2 linked regions of the Stegostoma tigrinum genome follow. The protein of the gene in region 2 purifies or fractionates together with the protein of the main gene of each other region. This does not show direct contact. Links are inferred from orthologs where the notes say so. Each region holds a gene or a part of one and is shown on either strand. Other genes may lie near its edges.

The links. Proteins that work in one complex are often made in the same cells at the same time.
Region 1: the proteins of foxo1a (region 2) and atg7 purify together in Homo sapiens (affinity purification with western blotting; 4 studies listed by BioGRID). This does not show direct contact. The link is inferred for Stegostoma tigrinum from reciprocal best matches to the Homo sapiens genes FOXO1 and ATG7.

What each region holds. Positions count from the first base shown.
Region 1 is NC_081364.1:23,883,113-23,893,366, forward strand, and holds the start of atg7 (ubiquitin-like modifier-activating enzyme ATG7), read left to right. Parts: upstream 1-5,739; 5' UTR 5,740-5,784; coding exon 5,785-5,938; intron 5,939-6,111; coding exon 6,112-6,166; intron 6,167-8,675; coding exon 8,676-8,793; intron 8,794-10,254. UniProt on the Homo sapiens protein: E1-like activating enzyme involved in the 2 ubiquitin-like systems required for cytoplasm to vacuole transport (Cvt) and autophagy.
Region 2 is NC_081359.1:88,064,103-88,075,132, reverse strand, and holds the start of foxo1a (forkhead box protein O1-A), read left to right. Parts: upstream 1-6,940; 5' UTR 6,941-7,343; coding exon 7,344-7,937; intron 7,938-11,030. UniProt on the Homo sapiens protein: Transcription factor that is the main target of insulin signaling and regulates metabolic homeostasis in response to oxidative stress.

The DNA of each region.
Region 1 (10,254 bases), on a different chromosome or scaffold from region 2:
CAAAATCATTTATATAAATGATGAAAAGTAGTGGACCGAGCACCAATCCTTGTGGCACATTGGTGATCACAGACCTCCAGTCCAAAAAGTAACCCTCTGACGAAGAAATGCCATATATTAAATAAGACAATGAGTAATACTCTAAATTGTACTGTTAATGTTTTTAAACTGTGCTTTTCTTTATAGTAACATTAGAATGACCAAAGACTGCACGGTTCTCGGTGTCTTCATGACAAACATGAAGGACAAACATGACAAAATTTATTTTTAATCTCAACAACATGATAAACTATCACATAAAATACAATTAAAGTGTGGCTTGTTCTCCTGAAGAAGTGGAAATAGAAATTGCTAAGAAATTAAGCTTGATTGCAATTGACTTATTCTTGCAATGAAGTGAAAGTTATATCTTTATTTATAACTAGTCCAATGATATTGAAGAGATAGACCAGTTACACAAAAAGTTCCATAAAAAGGTATCTTTTCCATGATAATACAATGTGAGGCTGGATGAACACAGCAGGCCAAGCAGCATCTCAGGAGCACAAACGCTGACGTTTCGGGCTTCGACCCTTCATCAGAGAGGGGGATGGGGAGAGGGTTCTGGAATAAATAGGGAGAGAGGGGGAGGCGGACCGAAGATGGAGAGAAAAGAAGACAGGTGGAGAGGAGAGTATAGGTGGGGAGGTAGGGAGGGGATAGGTCAGTCCAGGGAAGACAGACAGGTCAAGGAAGCGGGATGAGGTTAGTAGGTAGGAGATGGAGGTGCAGCTTGGGGTGGGAGGAAGGGATGGGTGAGAGGAAGAACAGATTAGGGAGGCAGAGACTGGTTGGACTGGTTTTGGGATGCAGTGGGTGGAGGGGAAGAGCTGGGCTGGTTGTATGGTGCAGTCGGGGGAGGGGACGAACTGGGCTGGTTTTGGGATGCGGTGGGGGAAGGGGAGATTTTGAAGCTGGTGAAGTCCACATTGATGCCATTGGGCTGCAGGGTTCCCAAGTGGAATATGAGTTGCTGTTCCTGCAACCTTCGGGTGGCATCACTGTGGCACTGCAGGAGGCCCATGATGGACATGTCATCTAAAGAATGGGAGGGGGAGTGGAAATGGTTTGCGACTGGGAGGTGCAGTTGCTTATTGCGAACGAAGCGGAGGTGTTCTGCAAAGCGGTCCCCAAGCCTCCGCTTGGTTTCCCCAATGTAGAGGTAGCCACACCGGGTACAATGGATGCAGTATACCACATTGGCAGATGTGCAGGTGAACCTCTGCTTAATATGGAAAGTCATCTTGGGGCCTGGGATAGGGGTGAGGGAGGAGGTGTGGGGGCAAGTGTAGCATTTCCTGCGGTGGCAGGGGAAGGTGCCGGGTGTGGTGGAATTGGAGGGCAGTGTGGAGCGAACAAGGGAGTCACGGAGAGAGTGGTCTCTCTGGAAAGCTGACAAGGGTGGGGACGGAAAAATGTCTTGGGTGGTGGGGTCGCATTGTAGATGGCGGAAGTGTCGGAGGATGATGCGTTGTATCCGGAGGTTGGTGGGGTGGTGTGTGAGAACGAGGGGGATCCTCTTTGGGCAGTTGTGGCGGGGGCGGGGTGTGAGGGATGTGTTGCGGGAAATGCGGGAGACGCGGTCAAGGGCGTCCTCGACCACTATGGGGGGAAAGTTGTGGTCCTTGAAGAATTTGGACATCTGGGATGTGCGGGAGTGGAATGCCTCATCGTGGGAGCAGATGCGGCGGAGGCAGAGGAATTGGGAACGGGGATGGAATTTTTGCAGGAGGGTGGGTGGGAGGAGGTGTATTCTAGGTAGCTGTGGGAGTCGGTGGATTTGAAACGGACATCAGTTACAAGCTGGTTGCCTGAGATGGAGACTGAGAGGTCCAGGAAGGTGAGGGATGTGCTGGAGATGGCCCAGGTGAACTGAAGGTTGGGGTGGAAGTTGTTGGTGAAGTGGATGAACTGTTCGAGGTCCTCTGGGGAGCAAGAGGTGGCGCCGATACAGTCATCAATGTAATGGAGGAAGAGATGGGGTTTGGGGCCTGTGTAGGTGCAGAAGAGGGACTGTTCCACATAACCTACAAAGAGGCAGGGATAGCTGGGGCCCATGCGGGTGCCCATGGCCACCCCTTTTGTCTGTAGGAAGTGGGAGGAATCGAAAGAAAAGTTGTTGAGGGTGAGGACGAGTTCGGCTATGCGGATGAGGGTGTCAGTGGAGGGGGACTGGTCGGGCCTGCGGGACAGGAAGAAGCGGAGGGCCTTGAGGCCATCTGCTTGCGGAATACAGGTGTATAGGAACTGGACGTCCATGGTGAAAATGAGGTGTTGGGGGCCAGGGAATCGGAAGCGGTTTCACTTTCAGGTCTCCTTTTCTAATGGTTAAGTTATGAATTATCAAGTATTTATTCTTCCAAATAAAGCTGGCAACCCTTTGTAACCATATTTTGCCCACAGAGCAATTAAGAGTCAAAGAGTTACAATATTTTGGAGTCACAAGAGGCTAGGGTCAGGAACACATAGCAGATTTCCTTTCATGAAGCACATTAAACAGTGAGATTTTTTTATGACAACCAACCAGTTAGGTGACTTTTTTATTCCTGGTTTTGTCGAGTTACTTGTACCAGATGGGGCAAAACGTGCATTAATTATTTTAACATAAGAGCTTGATGTATGGCTGAAGTAGTCCTGAAAGATTTAATTGCCATTTATTACACCTGATATAAACATATATTACAGTCATGGACTAAGATGGGCTCCAAGACTCTTAAAGTATCTGCCATCCTCACCTGGTATGGTCTCCGTGTGACCCCAACCTAAAGCAATGTGGTTGACTCTTAATTGCCCACTGAAATGGCCTAGGAAACCATTCAGTTGTACCAATCACTACAAAGAAATGAAACCAGATCACCTGGCATTGACCTCGGCACTGGAAAAGAGTGGATGATCCATCTTGGCCTGTTCCAGTAGTCCCCAGCATTACAATTACCAGTCTTGATGCCAATTCGATTCACTCCACATGATTTCAAGAAACAGTTAGAGGCACTGGATACTAAAAAAGGCCTGTGCTCTGACAACATTCTAGCATTAGTACTGAAGACTTGGGTTCCAGAACTCGCTGCTCCCCTAGCCAAGCCATTCCAGTAGAGTTCAACACTGGCATCTACCTGATATTGTGGAAAATTGCCCAAGTATATCCTGTACATAATAAGCAGGACAAATCCAACCTGGCCAATTACCGTCCCATCACTGTATTGTTGATCATCAGTAAAGTGAAGGAAGGTGTCATCAACAGTGTTATCAAGCAGCACATGCTCAGCAATAACCTGCTCAGTGATGCCCTATTTGGGTTCTGCTAGGGATACTCAGCTTCTGACCTCATTATAGCCATGGTTCAAACATGGATAAAAGAGTCGAATTTCAAAGGTGAGGTGATTATAGCCATGGTTCAAACATGGATAAAAGAGTTGAATTTCAAAGGTGAGGTGATTATAGCCATGGTTCAAACATGGATAAAAGAGTTGAATTTCAAAGGTGAGGTGACAGTGATAGTCCTTGACATCAAGGCTGCATTCGACCAAATGTGGCATCAAACAGCCTTCGCTAAACAGGAATCAGTGGGTAATAGGGGGAAAACTGGTGGTTAGCATCATACATGACACATAGCAAGAAAGTCGTGATTGTTGGAGGTCAGTTATCTCAGCTCCAGGGCATCTCTGTGGGAGTTCCTCAGGGTAGTGTTCTCAGGCTAACCATCTTCAGCTGCTTCATCAATGAACTTCCCTCCATCATGAGGTCAGAAGTGGGAATGTTGGCCGAAGATTGCACAATGTTCAGCACCATGCATGACTCCTCAGATACTGAAGCAATCTGTGTCCAAATGCAACAAGATCTGTAAATATCCAGGTTTGGGCTGACAAGTGGCAAGTAACATTCATGGCACACAAGTGCCGGGATATGACCATCACCAATAAGATGCAATCGAACCACTGCCTCTTGACATTCAATGGTGTTGCCATCACTGAATCCCTCAGTGTCAATGTCCTGGGAGTTATCATTGATCAGAAGCTCAACTGGACTCACCACATTAAGCTCAGCGGCTACAAGTGCAGGTCAGAGGCTAGAAATACTGCGGCAAATAAATCACCTCCTGACGCCTCAAAGCCTTTCCAACATCTACAAGGCACAAGTTAGGAGTGTGATGGAACACTCCTCACTTGTCTGGATGAGTGCAACTCCAGCAACGTACAAAAGCTTGACACCATCCAGGATAAAGCAGCCCGCTTGATTGGCACTGTATCCACCAGCATCTACTCCCTCCACCACTGACATTCAGTAGCAGCAGCGTGTACTGTCTACAAGATGCACTGCAGAAATTCACCAAAGATCCACAGACAGTGCCTGCCAAACCCCACAACCACTTCCATCTAGGAGGACAAGGACAATATATTTATGGGAACACTACCACCTTCAAGTTCCCTTCCAAGTCACTCACCAACCTGACTTGGAAATATATTGCCATTCCTTCATTGTTACTCAGTCCAAATCCTGGAATTCGCCTGCTAATGACATTGTGGGTCAACCCACAGCAGGAGGACTGCAGCTGCTCAAGAAGACAACTCGCCACCAAGGACAACTTCTCAAGGGCAACTATCAATGGCCAATAAATGCTGGCCAGCCAGTGAAACTCTCATCTCACAAAATGAATAACGGTCAGATGCTATACATGGTGCTGCTACTTTTTGTGTATCTTAAAGGTATAATAAAGTAGAATACAGACACTGGGAATCTCAAACAAAAACAGTGCTGGAGAAACTCAGCATGTCTGGCAGCATTTGAGAAGAGAGAAACAGAGTTAACATTTTGAGTGTGATATGACTGTCCTTCAAACTTTTTTTTATTTCTCTTAAAGGTATACTGCATACCAGCAGAGAGGCATTCTTCTAGAGACATTTTTCTCAAAAGTTCAAGACTAGTTGGGTTTTCCATGCGTCTCAAATTCTGATCTCTTATGCATTCACAATCATAACTGCTTTACCAATGATGGAATTGCTGTAGGTGGCCTAGATCAAGAGCTCCAAAATTCTGCCCTTCCAGCTCTCCAACACTGTAACGTGCTTTCTTCTAGAGACATTTTTCTCAAAATCGTGCTGACTAAATTTTGATCGTCTGAGCACAAGCTTCTTTCTATGGCTCAGCAACACAGTTTGTTATATTCCACACTCCGGGCATCCTTTGCTACGTGTGAGTATTTGCAATTTGTAAACATGTACAACTCAGTGAGTTCAGGATGTCTGCCCTTCCAAATAATGGCAGTTGCTGCAGCCAAGAGTCATTCAGAGTTTAGGAAGGAGTTTTTGTTTGGTTTTAGTTTTTCTGCAGAATCTGACAGAAATGGTGGAAGGGTCTTTTTTTAGATTCCCTACAGTGTGGAAACAGGCCCTTCAGCCCAACAAGTCCACACCACCCCTTGGAGCATCCCACCCAGACCCATCCCCCCCAAACCCACACACCCCTGTACACTATGGGTAATTTAACATGGCCGATCCACCTAACCTACACATCTTTGGACTGTGGGAGGAAACCGGAGCACCCGGAGGAAACCCACGCAGACACGGGGAGAATGTGCAAACTCCACACAGACAGGACATGGATCTTACATGGACCTGAAAACCCCTCGCTTCGCCCCGCGGTGGTACGGGGCGGGGCTGTCCCGGTGATGTCATCTGTCTGCGCCGAGCGGTGTGACGGACGAACTGCGCCTCAGGCGGCGGCTGGCTCAACGCGGAAGTGTTCGCGATGGACGGCACGGGCTCCGGGCGCCCGGCGTTGCAATTTGCTCCCTTCAGTAGCGCTTTGGACGCAGGTTTCTGGCATGAGCTCACTCAGAGGAAACTGAACGACTACAGACTGGACGAGAGTCCCCGAAATATCAGGGGCTATTACTATAACGGTACCAGCACCTGTGTCGGGGGTGGAGTGGGGAAGCACTGTCCTGGGTTTAATTTGCAAAGGCACCCCCCCGCCACCACCTCTCGATCAAGCATTATTACTGGCTTTATACTTTTAAAAAACTTATTTTAAAGCAGCATGCAGCAAAATAAAATCTATTTTCTTATTTGAAAGGTGATCCTGCTGGACTGCCAACTCGACTAACTTTGGAGTTCAGTGCATTTGATGTGTGAGTAATTGTGGGATCATCAGTGCTTTTTCAGCAGCATTTGAGGGAGTGTAAAAGTGCCTTGTTTAATCTTTGATCACTGCGGTGGTTCTTATTTGTTTTAAGTTGAATCTCAGTAGGTGTCAGTTTTAATTGTTTTGAAAGTTATTTCTATCTGAGAAACTGAATCATTATATTGGAACCTTAGTAAAGATTAGCAGTAACATCAATATTTGCTCTTCACCTACATGGAATTGCCTTTGGCAATGAAACAGTGAGTGCTTTTAAAGAAGCTTTTGTTGCTGCCAATAAACGTGTGTGGCAGCCTTGCCTCATTTCTAAGCTTATCTTAGTTTGTACTGACACATCACTGTAAATGTTGCATTCTCTCTGACATTTGTTAATTGATGGATAAATGTGAAAAGGAAATAGATTGTCATGTATGTATCCTCTGAATAAAACCAAAAACTTCATCTTTCCAGACAGATTATTGAAACATTTTGAAATATGATTTTAAAAAGCTTTATTTACAATGAATGAATCTAAATTAAGAAATGCTATTTTGTAACTGGTAGGTGTTGCTGCAGCTGAATTTTGATGCTAAAGCGTTGCCAAAATTTTAGGTTGAGAGGCTGCTGAATTGTGATCAATTAGCATGTCACCCAGCCACCAGACCTTTTAAAACTTCATTCAAACTAACAGTATCCATTATTCATTAATGAAAGAATTTGCAGCCAGTTGGTAACTTTGAGACTGAGTTTTGATTGCTCCTGCTAGAGATTTAAGGAAAGACTTTATGGTTTCTTTGTGTGCTTTAGGGAGCCCTAAACTGAAATAGACACAAATAGCTGGAGTGAGTGGGGTGACAAAGGGATTATGCATGTGTGCTGGTTGAAGCAGTTAATGTGCATTGAGAGTCACGTGTTATCAGTGAAGTTTTCTGTTTCTTTGTTTCTCTTAAGTATAGGTATGAATCAGAAGTTGAAAATGGGTGCAGTTTTCCATGTTGATTATACCTCAGTAGCCCCGTTCTGCTGCAGGGTGGCTTCTGATGATGAAAGTAACGTAGGCAGCTCATTTCTAGTGCCAATGACTGCCTCCTATTCCCATGAGAAACAGTAATCCATACTGGTGTGGATAGTATAAGTTACTGCTACCAAAACTCCAACTGGGACCAATTAACAATACATTTTGGAATCTAGGTTCAAATAGGCTAATCTGGTTGCCTGGCCATTGATTTTTAATATTGCTAATCTGAATGTCATTGCTGAAGACTGTGTGTACATGATTTTGGAAAAAAAGCTGCATATACAGTTGCTCCTTGTTTATATCATTCTGCAGTAAAAACGCAAATGGAAGTAGCATAAGAGAAAACAGATATTTCCATTAAAAATGGATCAAAAATATAAAAGCAATGTAAATCTATTGTTATATTATAAATATCAGTGTCATTTAGATACAAGTTTTAAATTAAGATCTGATTAACATGACTATATTGGAAACTTCAATTGCCAAAGTTTGTTCCAGAAGCTTGCTATCAGCTGAATTTAATGTTAACATAGCAAACTGCAATATTTTGTATTCTGTTAGTTGGCTGCCTTTTCATGCTTTAAGGATTCAGCAGTGAAAGCATTATTTTCTGTGCCATGATTCAGTTTTAGATAAATCGTCAACCAATTGTTTGTTAGTTCAGGAATTTAGTTTTCTCATGAAACAAATCTTTTATAGTTTGCAGTTCCCCTGTTAATATGGTTCTGGTGATTGTGAGGCTTTTTGTTTTGTTTTGATTTTGAACCTGCCACTGTTACAATGAAATGTGGTGCAGGATGGAGCAGCTCTGCTATTATATCACCATGACTTTAGAATCAATGTGGACGCATTGAAAGAACTACAGCTGAGATCCTAGCTACTTTATTTATGGCAGAAATCACAAACTACTCTCATTTTTTAGCTTGTTCTGTCTCAAACACGTTGATTCCTTGTCAGATTTTTCGATGCTCTCCAACAGTCGTTTGTCACCTTGCTGTTTGTGAGCCTTGACTACAAATGCTATTAGATTATTTTAGTGAGGGCAGGCATCACCTCTGTGCCTCATGTGGCCCATTGATTCACTACTCTCAGTGAGAAGAAATTGTTCCTCATCTCTCTCTTAAACGTGCAGCCTCTTATTCTGAGATTATGCCCTCTGCTCTCAGACTCCTCCACAAGGAGGAGCAACCCTTTTGCGTCTACCCTGTCAAGTTCCCAAAGAATATTGTGTATATGATAAGTGCACAATGTCAAATTTGGTACATTGGTTGAAATGTACTTGTGGCATTAATGTCATTTGTCTATTATTACCTGCAGCATAGAATAGTCTTTCATTTATGTAGTCAACATTGTTCAGTGGCCTTATGGGTCATTTCAATCTACCCAATCAAAGGACACCTTCAGAAATATGATTGAATTCAGACTAAATAATGTTCATCCGAAACAAAGTGTTAACACCCTTCTTACTGGTGTAAGAAAATAATTTTGCATGTTCACTTAGGAATGCTGTGACGCCACCTCGGTGTTGCCCTGCTTTTGGCACTCTGTATAATACCAACACCTTGCAGTCATTTAAATCCACTGATAAAAAGGCTTTGCTGGAGCAAGTGGGAAAAGAGGTGAGTTGCAAAAAGTAACATTCTTTATTCCTTGAGGGTCAGGTGTTTGTGATTTTTATGATGAATAACTTAAAGGAGTGTGGGTTAGATTTTAAAAACTTCATTTATTTACTTGTGTGTTCCTTAAGGACAGTCATTCTTCATTCCTCTTGCTGCTGTTTACAACATATGGTTTGGGTCAGCTGATCCACGGAAACAAGTGGTGAGCATCTGACCAGAATGACAAAAATGATGGTTGTGATTAATTTACCCACACTTTGATAATAGAGAGAGCAGATGCTGATGTCTCGTGATACCAGATTGTGAGGTGATAGCCTAATGTGAACTTCAGTTTGCATTTTAAAAAAGTCAAGGATGCTTATCAGCTATGTTAAGGCAATTTCCCTTTTCACAAACTTTGGTTAATCTGTAAATTTACTAGTGACCGCAAATCAATCTTGTAACACTAACGTTGAATTTAATGTGATAGACAATAGACAATGGGTGCAGGAGTAGGCCATTCGGCCTTTTGAGGCAGCACCACCATTCATTATGATCATGGCTGATCATCCACAGTCAGTATCCTGTTCCTCCCTTATCCCCATAACCCTTGATCCCACTATCGTTAAGAGCTCTATCCATCTCTTTCTTGAAAGTATCCAGAGACTTGGCCTCCACTGCCTTCTGGGGCAGAGCATTCCATATATCCACCACTCTCTGGGTGAAGAGGTTTTCCTCAACTTTTCTAAATGGCCTACCCCTTATTTTTAAACTGTGTCCTCTGGTTCTGGACTTACCTGTCAGCGGAAACATGCTTCCTGCCTCCAAAGTGTTCAATCCCTTAATAATCTTATACATCTCAATCAGATCCCCTCTCATCCTTCTAAACTCAAGTGTATGCCAGCCCAGTCGCTCCAATCTTTCAACATATGATAGTCCCACCATTCTGGAAATTGACCTCGTGAACCTACGCTGCACTCTCTCAATAGCCAGAATGTCCTTCCTCAAATATGGAGACCAAAACTGCACACAATACTCCAGATGCAGTCTCACCAGGGCCCTGTACAACTGCAGAAGGACCTCTTTGCTCCTATACTCAATTACTGTTATTATGAAGGCCAGCATGCCGTTAGCTTTCTTCACTGCCTGCTGTACCTGCATGCTTGCTTTCATTGACTAATGTACAAGAACACCTAGATCTCGTTGTAATTCCCCTTTACCTAACTTGACTTCATTTAGATAGAAATCTGCCTTCCTGTTCTTGCCACCAAAGTGGATAACCTCACATTTATCCACGTTAAACTGCATCTGCTATGCATCCGTCCACTCACCTAGCCTGTCCAAGTCACCCTGTATTCTCATAACATCCTCCTTACATTTCACACTGCCACCCAGCTTTGTGTCATCAGCAAATTAGCTAATATTACTTTTAATGCCTTCATCTATATCATTAATGTGATCTGAATTAATTTCTTTGTTTTA
Region 2 (11,030 bases):
ATTGTGAATGTTCATGCTGTGCGCTTAGTGCTACAATGGAGTGCAGTGGAATGGTAATAGCTTCCTGCAGCCCTAAGGCAAGTATTAAACCTCACTGGCCTCTTTTAGACATTTCAAACTTCTTGTCTGAACATGTCAAGCATTGACTTCACTTCAAATATTCATGATTTTCATTTTAACGATGCTCTGTCTAATATTTTATTTCACATCATTAGTCGATAAATGTTGAATAATATGGATACTACTTCACACATTTTCCTCCAATGCTCTTCTATTTTTTTGTTTTCTCCCCTGAAGGTCGTAACTTTTATTGTGGATGCAGTTACTGCAGAGCTGGCAGTTGTCCAGTAACACCACATCCAAGTGGTATCATTTATATGTAAACCAAAACTGTGAATATTAACAATCTACTTTTTTGTGATGAGCATCACAACTAAAGCCATAAAGTATGAACGTATGGGTGTTTTCCAGCAGGGGTCACTAGACTATGAGCAGGAGTGAGATCCCTTGTCAAAGAACATGGAAGCCAATGGCAGTAGAGCCATTGCCACTGGAGCAGAAGTAAAAACAAAACTCTCAAATTGGGAAGGAAATGATGAGGTGTGTTTAACACTTCAAACTTACATAGAACATAGAACATAGAACAGTACAGCACAGAACAGGCCCTTCAGCCCACAGTGTTGTGCCGACCATTGATCCTCATGTATGCACCCTCAAATTTCTGTGACCATATACATGTCCAGCAGTCTCTTAAATGACCCCAATGACCTTGCTTCCACAACTGCTGCTGGCAACGCATTCCATGCTCTCACAACTCTCTGCGTAAAGAACCTGCCTCTGACATCCCCTCTATACTTCCCACCAACCAGCTTAAAACTATGACCCCTCGTGCTAGCCATTTCTGCCCTGGGAAATAGTCTCTGGCTATCAAATCTATCTATGCCTCTCATTATCTTGTATACCTCAATTAGGTCCCCTCTCCTCCTCCTTTTCTCCAATGAAAAGACACCGAGCTCAGTCAACCTCTCTTCATAAGATAAGCCCTCCAGTCCAGGCAGCATCCTGGTAAACCTCCTCTGAACCCTCTCCAAAGCATCCACATCTTTCCTATAATACGGCGACCAGAACTGGACGCAGTATTCCAAGTGCAGTCTAACCAAAGTTTTATAGAGCTGCAACAAGATCTCACGACTCTTAAACTCAAGCCCCCTGTTAATGAAAGCCAAAACACCATATGCTTTCTTAACAACCCTGTCCACTTGGGTGGCCATTTTAAGGGATCTATGTATCTGCACACCAAAATCCCTCTGTTCCTCCACGCTGCCAAGAATCCTATCCTTAATCCTGTACTCAGCTTTCAAATTCGACCTTCCAAAATGCATCACCTCGCATTTATCCAGGTTGAACTCCATCTGCCACCTCTCAGCCCATCTCTGCATCCTGTCAATGTCCCGCTGCAGCCTACAACAGCCCTCTACACTGTCAACGACACCTCCGACCTTTGTGTCGTCTGCAAACTTGCTGACCCATCCTTCAATCCCCTCATCCAAGTCATTAATAAAAATTACAAACAGTAGAGGCCCAAGGACAGAGCCCTGTGGAACCCCACTCACCACTGACTTCCAGGCAGAATATTTTCCTTCTACTACCACTCGCTGTCTTCTGTTGGCCAGCCAATTCTGTATCCAAGCAGCCAAGTTCCCCTGTATCCCATTCCTCCTGACCTTCTGAATGAGCCTACCATGGGGAACCTTATCAAATGCCTTACTGAAGTCCATATACACCACATCCACAGCTCGACCCTCATCAACTTTTCTAGTCACATCCTCAAAAAACTCGATAAGGTTTGTAAGACATGACCTACCCCTCACAAAGCCGTGTTGACTGTATTTGATCAAGCCATGCTCTTCCAGATGGTCATAAATCTTATCCCTCAGAATCCTTTCTAACACCTTGCAGACGACAGACGTGAGACTTACCGGTCTATAATTGCCGGGGATTTCCCTATTTCCTTTCTTGAAGAGAGGAATTACATTTGCCTCTCTCCAGTCCTCAGGTACGACTCCAGTGGACAGCGAGGATGCAAAGATCTTCGCAAGCGGCGAAGCAATTGCATTTCTCGCTTCCCAAAGAGGCCGAGGACAAATCTGGTCCGGGCCTGGCGACTTGTCAATCTTAATGTTTGACAAAATTTTCAGTACATCAGCTTCCTCTATCTCTATCCATTCCAGCATGCACACCTGCTCTTCAAAGGTTTCATTCACTACAAACTTAGTTTTATTTACTTTTTGGTTAGTGGAATTCTTAGCCATTTTCTGATCTTCTGTCCCTGAAGGGTGTTGACTCATTGTGAGAGTGCAGTTGCTCATCATTGCCTCACCCAAGACACTATTATTCATGCACACACCTTGAGAATAAGTGTCATCAAGAATCTTTTTATCATGGGAATGTCATGCTTTAATTCACAGGTGTTTTGCACATAAATGACTGGATAGCAAGCAGTATTTTGGTCCCTCTTTGTTCAGAGCATTCAGGGCAAAATATAACACTCCTCCCCTGTCCCAGTTGGGATTAGTTAATGCATTCAAAAGAAGGAATTGAGCCTAGATTTTGAGTACATGTTAAAATATTGTCACTTCATTTAATAATGATTTAAAACATATATGTCGGAATGCAATTCTATTTCTTCAAAGGCTAATAGATTGTTGTTACGCTGTCTCAGGCATGAAAGTATAACGTGGTTAACAAGAAGGTATTTAACTACTGTGAAGGCCAGAGTCCTGCCGCAAACTCCATTCTTTAGTCAACAGTTCCATCCTGCTTAGTGGCCATTGTCTAAGGCTGAATCAGACTGTTAGCAACCTCATCATCCTTAACGATTTTGAACTAAGCTATCAACATCATTTCATCTTCAAAACCAAGATGGTCTACTGTCAGCGCTGTAATAGCAGTTCTCTCCATCCCTACTTGAGCTCACCTGCAGCTGGAATCCTGCCTTGTTACTACCAATCTCAACTATTACTCTATAGGCCAGCTTGCCACTTTCTATTGTCTGTAAAATAGAGTTTATTTGAAATGCTGATGTCCACATCCTAATTCACGCTCAGTCCAGTTCACGTATCCTCCCTTTGCCAGCTAATTTACATTAGCTCCCAGTCAGCAAAGTCTTGATTTTAAAATGTTCATTTTTGTGTTCAAATCCCCATTAGGCTTTGCCTTTCCCTATCTCCAACCTAACTTTCCAAGGTCTTAATGCTTTTCCGATTTTGATTTCTTACTCCATCCACTGGTTTTAATTTCACCACCATCAATGTCCATGCCTTCAGCATCCCAAGCCCTAAATCTGAATTACATCCCAAACCCCCCGGCCCTCATTCTCTGTCTCCTCCTCTAAATCGATCCTAATAACTCCTTATGAGACTTGCTTTCAAATTTTGTCTCATTGTGTGCGTGGAGACATTGGGAAGTTGTTATTTATGTTAAAGACACAATATACTAGTAAATTATATGTCAGCAAGATCAGAAGAATATTTGTTACAAAACTGTTTTTTAACTGTGTTGAACTAGATTGCTGGGCACATTCTGTCAATAATTGATATTTAATTAGTGACACTGGACTCTTGGACTTACAAAATCAAGAACTCTTGTCCAGTGTCATCATTATTACTATGTTTAGAAAAAAACACGGAAGGGAAAGTGTTCATCATCTTGGGATCATGTTCAAATCTGAAAACAACGTTCTGAGCAAACAGGCATTGTTGGTGACACACCTGGAGCACATGGACTAAGTAGCAGCCAAAAACATAGTGGAAATGTATAAAAAGAGACCTCATCGAGTAGGCCGGAGTACAAAAGAACAAAACAATCCAACTGCATTATGGTTAGAAATATGTAGGGTACCATTGGTGTTAAGGGCCTGGGTATGGAACAACCTCTTATTTCAGGTTAGTTATACCATATTCCTGAGGAAAACTTTACTGTAATTCTTCCCGAACTCAGCACCGAGAGCATTCCTTAGTGCATCAAGATAATGTTTGTCCAATTTTCACTCCAGCTTTTCAGTGTTACTTCCAATAAGATTAGAAATTTTATACTGAGGCCTATCCAGCTAAAATCTGGATTCAATCTCACTTTTTGTCCAGTAAATGGATGGTACACATAGGAGCAATCTGGGCTGAATCTGGATCCAAGTCCTGTAATTGGAAGATGTGTGTTTTGATCACTGTAGGTCAGTCCATCACAAATATTTATTTATAAATATTAAACCTGTGCAAGGGTAAAGCATGAATGTTAATTTCCAGTTAGGCAGAATGCTATTGAACAAGAGAGAACAGCTAGAGAGAAATTAACAAAGTATGTGAATGATGACAATTTCAATTCATAAGTATGGACTAGGAAGAACAAAAAACGTGAAGTAGGAAGAACACTGTTGCACAGGTTCATACTACAAACGTTCATGATCACAATGGAAATTAAACCCATAATTTTATCTCCACTTTGTAAATACTATTGTCCCAATTTTTGTTGAGTTAGTTGATCTCAGCTGGAACTGCAGTATGAGGTGCAGGGGGACTATGAGAGAAGGATGTCGGTTTTAGCAGTTGTCAGATGATAATTGACTGTAGGAAAGCTGATGTTCAGTTGTTCACTGATTCTTATTGGAAAACATGTGCATGTGTACATCATGTAAGAATGGGCATGCATCTGGTTGTGGAGCCACTAAGAGTGGAAAACCTATGAACATTCAATGTCAGGAATATTTATGAAGAATGATTAGATACTTAAGTGTCACTGGCACCTGTGGAAGAGTCACATCCTGCGGAAGAGAAAGAAGACCATTGGGGGAGAAAAAGTTAGGTGACAACATTATTTTTAACTGTGTTTACATTGCAGTCACAAAAGTTCAGGAAATGCAAGTAATCCCAAGAATTGTTAATTGCAAAAATATTGGCAAATATTCATTTTACTATAAGTAACATTGTAGCCTTTTGAAATTTAAAGCTTTTATATAATAGCCTCTGACTTGCAGCTTTAATTAATCTTATGGCAATAATGTGTACATTAAATGTTATGTCATGGCCCAAGTACATTATTGATTTTTTTGGAATCAACTTTTAATATCATAATCAATCTGTCGGTGAAAATGCATCAGCTACACTAATCATTAATCCAACACCTGCTGCTCAGTTAAGGTGACCCAAGATTGTCATAATGCTCCCATGAACTTTTTCTCTTTGTAGCATTCAACACATTTCCCGCATGCTTCAGGGCGTTATTTCTGCTTTCGATTTTGATTGAAGTGTTCGATTATTTAAATGCTTCTTATGGAAATGTTTATCGTCGCTTATGTACAAATTACGTTGGAAATGTCAAAATTAGGCCCACGTGCCAGTTGAGTTGGTAAAATATTTTAGCTGCTTTGACTAATCTCTGACATGAATATCCTTTGAAAGTATGTTTTAATTTCAGGTAGGGTAAGCTTGATTGAGTTGGTACTGTAGATGTAACCAGCAGAAGTGCTTTCAGGGAGATTGCAGTGTAACGACTTGTGAATAGATGGAGTGATAATGGAAACTGCGGATGCTGCAGAATCCAAGATAACAAAGTGTGGAGCTGGATGAACACAGCAGGCCAAGCAGCATCTCAGGAGCACAAAAGCTGACGTTTCGGATGGAGACGGGTCCGGTAAACAGAAATAAAACACCGTTTTAGGATTGCTTTAGATGTGGAATCGTTTGGTTGACATGCTGTGAACGGAAGAAAATTTGCGATAGTCTGACATGGTAGTTCCTATTTAGAAAATATTTTCTTCTCGATAAAACCTCAGCATTTAAAGGATTTATCGTGTCTAATTTCAACGCCTTCCTTTAGATTTAGCTTCGAAACGAAGCCAAAATATGCAAACTGATTACATCTATTGTCGCTGTTCCAACCTTCTTTGAACTTCAACATCATTGTGAAGTTATTATTTTTTTTAAAAGAAAACATATCACCATTTTAGTCATCGCGTTCAAATCTGTCAACTTTAAAGGGAACAACATATGTCTCTCCTTCTAACAGGTAACGTCGGAGGCGGAGCTCAAACCGTATTGACACGGGTGACAAAGTTAGAGTGAACTCGTGTTGAACTCAGGGATTCAGTTCTGATCCACAAAATGCAGAATATATTCCAAGTAAACAAACTCCAGATTGAACTAATTTCAGGACTGAAGTCGGGTGTCTGGTCCATTTGTCGGTGAGGAAGTGACTCAGGTTTTTTTTCGGGGGGGGTAAGAAATCTGTCAATATTTGACGTTGGTTAACCACTGTTCCAGAAATACTACAGGTCTGCTGGAGAACAGGGCGTGCAGCCTCAGGCATTCTCACGCACTTTCCCAAAATCACTGTTAGATTCAGGTTGTAGAGTTTTCAAAGGCTGCCCCGCAAATCGAATTAGGCTGGGTGCACGTCTGTCGACTTTAATTTTCAGGACTTGAATAAATGACACCGTCCTTCTGGATTTTGCAAAGCCACCATGTTCGGTCGGGAGCAAACACGTTCCCTTGAGTTCCTGGGGGACTTCAAACCTCTCTCTAGCCGTCCTCTCCGTAACCTGTTTCATTTTTCAGATATGAAGTCCACTGTCGGGCTGTCAAAATGGCTGTGTGTCTGTACGTGTTTGTTTTTATGCGTGAGTAAGCTCCCCACCATGTGTTTACTCATGTTGGTGGGCGGACTTTGATGAGCTCCGCCTCATCAACCTAACTTGAATTAGGAGGTGGGGGGCGGGGGGAGCCAGTGTTTGAGGCGGGGGAGAGGAAAGAAGGGGGCGGGAAGGTTCCAGGGTCTCCTGGAATTCCATTGGCCAGTGGCCCCCGGCTTGCGATGTCGATTGGATCACCCAGCCGCCCGTCAGGCTGTCTCCGCCCTCTCCCTTTGTCACGCAGAGCCATCAGGTTAGGCGGCTCGGCCCGGAGTACAATACAGCGCTTGTCTGTACAGAGAGAGGAAAGTAGGACAAATGGTACGACAGGGTCAGGAAGGTCTATGAGCGTTATTATTGTTATTAGTGTTTTGTCAACGTGTAGTAGCAAATAGATCGTTTTGTGCTTGTTTTCTGTGTGGCTTCTTTTCTGTTGTTGGAAATCGGTCTTTTTTAGAGTTTTTTTTGTCAGGAGGGACATTATATTTTTCTTGCTGCCCCAAGCGACGAAGTAACTTTTTTTTCAGAAGGAAAAGTTTTTTTTTACTCCTCGCGTGTTGTGTTTAAAGCTGAGAGAGAAAGGTGGGGTGGGGGGGGAATAGAGACAGACAGACATTTAGAGAGAGACAGAGGGAGGAAAACAAACTTCAAAACTTCAGTCATGGCCGAGGCACCGCCGCTGCAACAGGTCGTAGAGATCGACCCCGATTTCGAGCCGCAATCCCGGCCCCGTTCCTGCACCTGGCCCTTACCCCGGCCGGATTTCAGCTGCGCGTCGTCCCCGGCTTCGGTGAAGCAAGAAGGGCAGAGCGAGTTCAACCTGACCCCGGAAGGGGCCGGCCGGGCGAGCGCTTCGGTATCGCCGGCTCTGGTGCTGGAGGAGCAGGACGAGGACTATGAGCAGAAGCCCGCCGTTCTCGGACTGGATTGCTGCGGTGACTTCCAGTGTCAGCATCAACAACATCAGGATGGCTGTCACCATCAACATCAGCACCAGCACCACCACCAGCACCAGCAGCAGCAGCAGCAGCAGCAGCAAGTCCCCTCGGCCGGGGCCGCTTCGGCAGCCCAGAGAAAGAGCAGTTCATCTCGGAGAAACGCTTGGGGGAACCTATCATATGCCGACCTCATCACCAAAGCTATCGAGAGCTCCCCGGAGAAGAGGCTCACCTTATCCCAAATCTATGACTGGATGGTCAGGAGCGTCCCCTACTTCAAGGATAAAGGAGACAGTAACAGCTCTGCTGGGTGGAAGGTGGGTGCAAAATAGTATTTGGTTTAAAATCTTTTAAACTTTGTAACATACGTATATACACGTTAAATAAAACCAGTTCAGTTTTTGTTTAGGAACACAAGTTTTGGTTGAATCGATATTGTAAGGTTATTCTATTTCCCAAATCCACTTAGCGCCGGTTGTTGTCCAGCAGGAAGGAAGTCTGATGGGAATGATAGGAATGACTCTCAAAGATCTGAGACTGTTTAAATATTCCGCTTTCAGGACTGCAAAATACAGCTGTTTTTAAAAAAAGCTGAACCTTTTAAATGATTTACTGCTAATCATAGATTGTGCAGCCCGCAGAGATGAAGGTCGCCAATTTTATCATATTTTATCACCTGTTTTGGAGAGTGGGATAATATTGTGTTCAGTGGAAAATCGCACGTGTGATCAAAACAGTTCTAGTGGGTCTACTTAGTTACCAAGGAATTGCCGATTAGGTAAGCGGCTGCTCTCTCTCAAACACTGATCGCTTCACGGTGGATTTCCAACATGAAAGTTGAGAAAGAAAACGGATAGCATCTTCCACAACAAATCAGGGTTAGAAAGTCAGGAAATTCTGCCCTGATGAACACGCACTGTCTTTTATTTTTAATTTTTCATTATTGTCACAACATGTATAGCCTTGGCCGAGTGACGTGTAAATAAATCAATACTGTCTGACGTACGTTCCCAGTTTCCCAAACCAAATAGAACAGTTTTGTGCCATTATATAGGTTCATGGTAGATTTCTGTATGGCCAGCAATTAATTTCTCTTTCGAAGGGGTGGGGGCGGAAGATACTAACGACGGACTAGTGAGGAAGAGAATGTCAGAAATATTCGGAATAAATGTTAACTGTTGAGCAGCTCTCGGTTTTCCCATGAGCTGCATTATTAATTCAACCCAGACCATTATGGCGATTTAGTATATACAGGACTCGATGCAAGAGGTAGCATTGCTTGAACAATCATGAATCTGTCGTATTTGAAATTGCTAGTAAGACAGGGGATAGCCAGCATTTTTGAAGAGCAAGACAAGGTAATGGAAATCTGTAGCGTGATACCCTTTTTTAAAATGCGCTAAGGAAGTCCGAGATTAGTTGCGCACATGTTTAAACCAAAGACTTAAAAATGTTGCCAAAATACCGTACTGTATATATCCGGTTCAAAAAGTTTAATTGGTTGACTTGCATTTAAATGACCACCCCGGGCCCCATGTTCACATTGAAGTCTGTGGTGTGGTTTGGTTTGCACCTCTCGAATGCACTTTAACTTGTATGTCCATGGCCTCTGAATCTTGGGGCGGACATTAGTTTGGAGTGCATCGCAATATCCAAACGGCGCATCATTTCTTTTCTCGTTTTTTAAAGTTTTTAAGTGGAAACAGTCTTGCAGCCCTGATTTTTGTCTGACCTGATATGGAGCCTTTCTTTCTCCCTCGCTCTGTGTGTTAGTCATTTTGTCATGTCGGTACAATAGGAATCATAGTTGTTGGATGAATCACGCATGCAGTCGGCCGGTCGCATCTGCCAGTTTGTCCCTGAATGTTGTTGTTTCAATCAGGATCGCACGCGTCCGTCACTCACATCCGCATCCTAACCTGCTGCCCTTGCTTGGTCCCGCCCTTGCCCTGACGTGATTGGACTAACAGTGTCACCGCGTGGGGCTTGCAAGGGCATTTGCGGCTCCGGTTGGGTAGAGCCCTCTGCCGATCGTTCGGGGAAGGCAAGCTTGACGTTTCGCGGAGCGATGTATCAGTCCAGTGACAGGCGGCGGTGGCGGGGGGGAGGAGGAGAGAGACTGACTCATTGACAGAAACCAAAGTTACGCAAAGATCTCGACGAATTGTAATTCTAACCTCCTCCCGCTTTCCTCCACCATCCTCTCCTTCCCTTTTGTCGGGAAACTAGGCTCACGTTGGTTATGTATTTTTCCACATTTTTGGAGAAGGGGCAATCGTAGTTTTGGGGACAAAAAGGAAAACGGCTCAGATAAATAAGAAAAACTTCGAGTCAGATTGTGAGCTGTTCCTTTGTCGGCTTTCCGCTTTCTTTCGTGACTGGCACCAACTTGGAACAGTTTCATGTGTTTTTGTAGCTGTATTTTCTATGTTTTGTGGCGCAGACTTGTTTTTGATATCAGAATGGAAATGGATTTGACGTTTCTGTCAAATGAATTGTGCTATACTCTTTGTTGAGCGAAAAAAACAGCACCAGCTAGCGGAACGGTTCGTTATTTTTACATCTTCCGGCAAAACAGCCACAATAAGCAGTGATGCATTTCCTTATAGATTGGAAAATAACACATTTTTCAGAATTGACTCATTTGAACCCATTTGAACTGTTCAATGTTTACGTTACTACCAGCTTGGAATATAAATTAAGTCATTAGGTGGGAATTACCTGTCCTGTAAACTCTAATAATGACGGACCTTTTGAGGCATGGAACTTCTTTTATATAATAGAAAATACCCTTCTTAGTCATTTGTTTTGGAGCCTGGCAGGTGCAGACGTTGGGTGGCTCCAGCTCAAATTACAATTGCACCGGTGAATATCGCTTATTAAAATGTCTTAATATTTTAAATATGGTGGAATAAAATATTGATTCCATTCAGTAACCATTGCAGTGACTTTGAAGTCATCAGACCAAATGCATCAATGTCAAATGTATTAGTACTCAATGACATGTTCATAGAGGTGCTGAAGATGACAGATCTGTGGTTCACATTCTGGTACAATGAGATTTTTTTTTACTTCTGCCTTCTTTTTGGCACTGGAGCCATGTTCTAAGTCCTGACTCTGTTCTACGGGGGTGCATACCATACAAAAAAAAAACAAGCAAAGGGTCTAGGCCCGAAACGTCAGCTTTTGTGCTCCTGAGATGCTGCTGGGCCTGCTGTGTTCATCCAGCCTCACATTTTATTATCTTGGATTCTCCAGCATCTGCAGTTCCCATTATCACTGATAGAGTTTAGGAATATTGGGTTTAGGGGCAAGATTAGGCCTTTCGGCCCTGCCAGCCAGATCCACAATATTATGACTAAACTGGTTTTCAATCCCACTTTATTAACCTTACCTCCAACACCATAGCC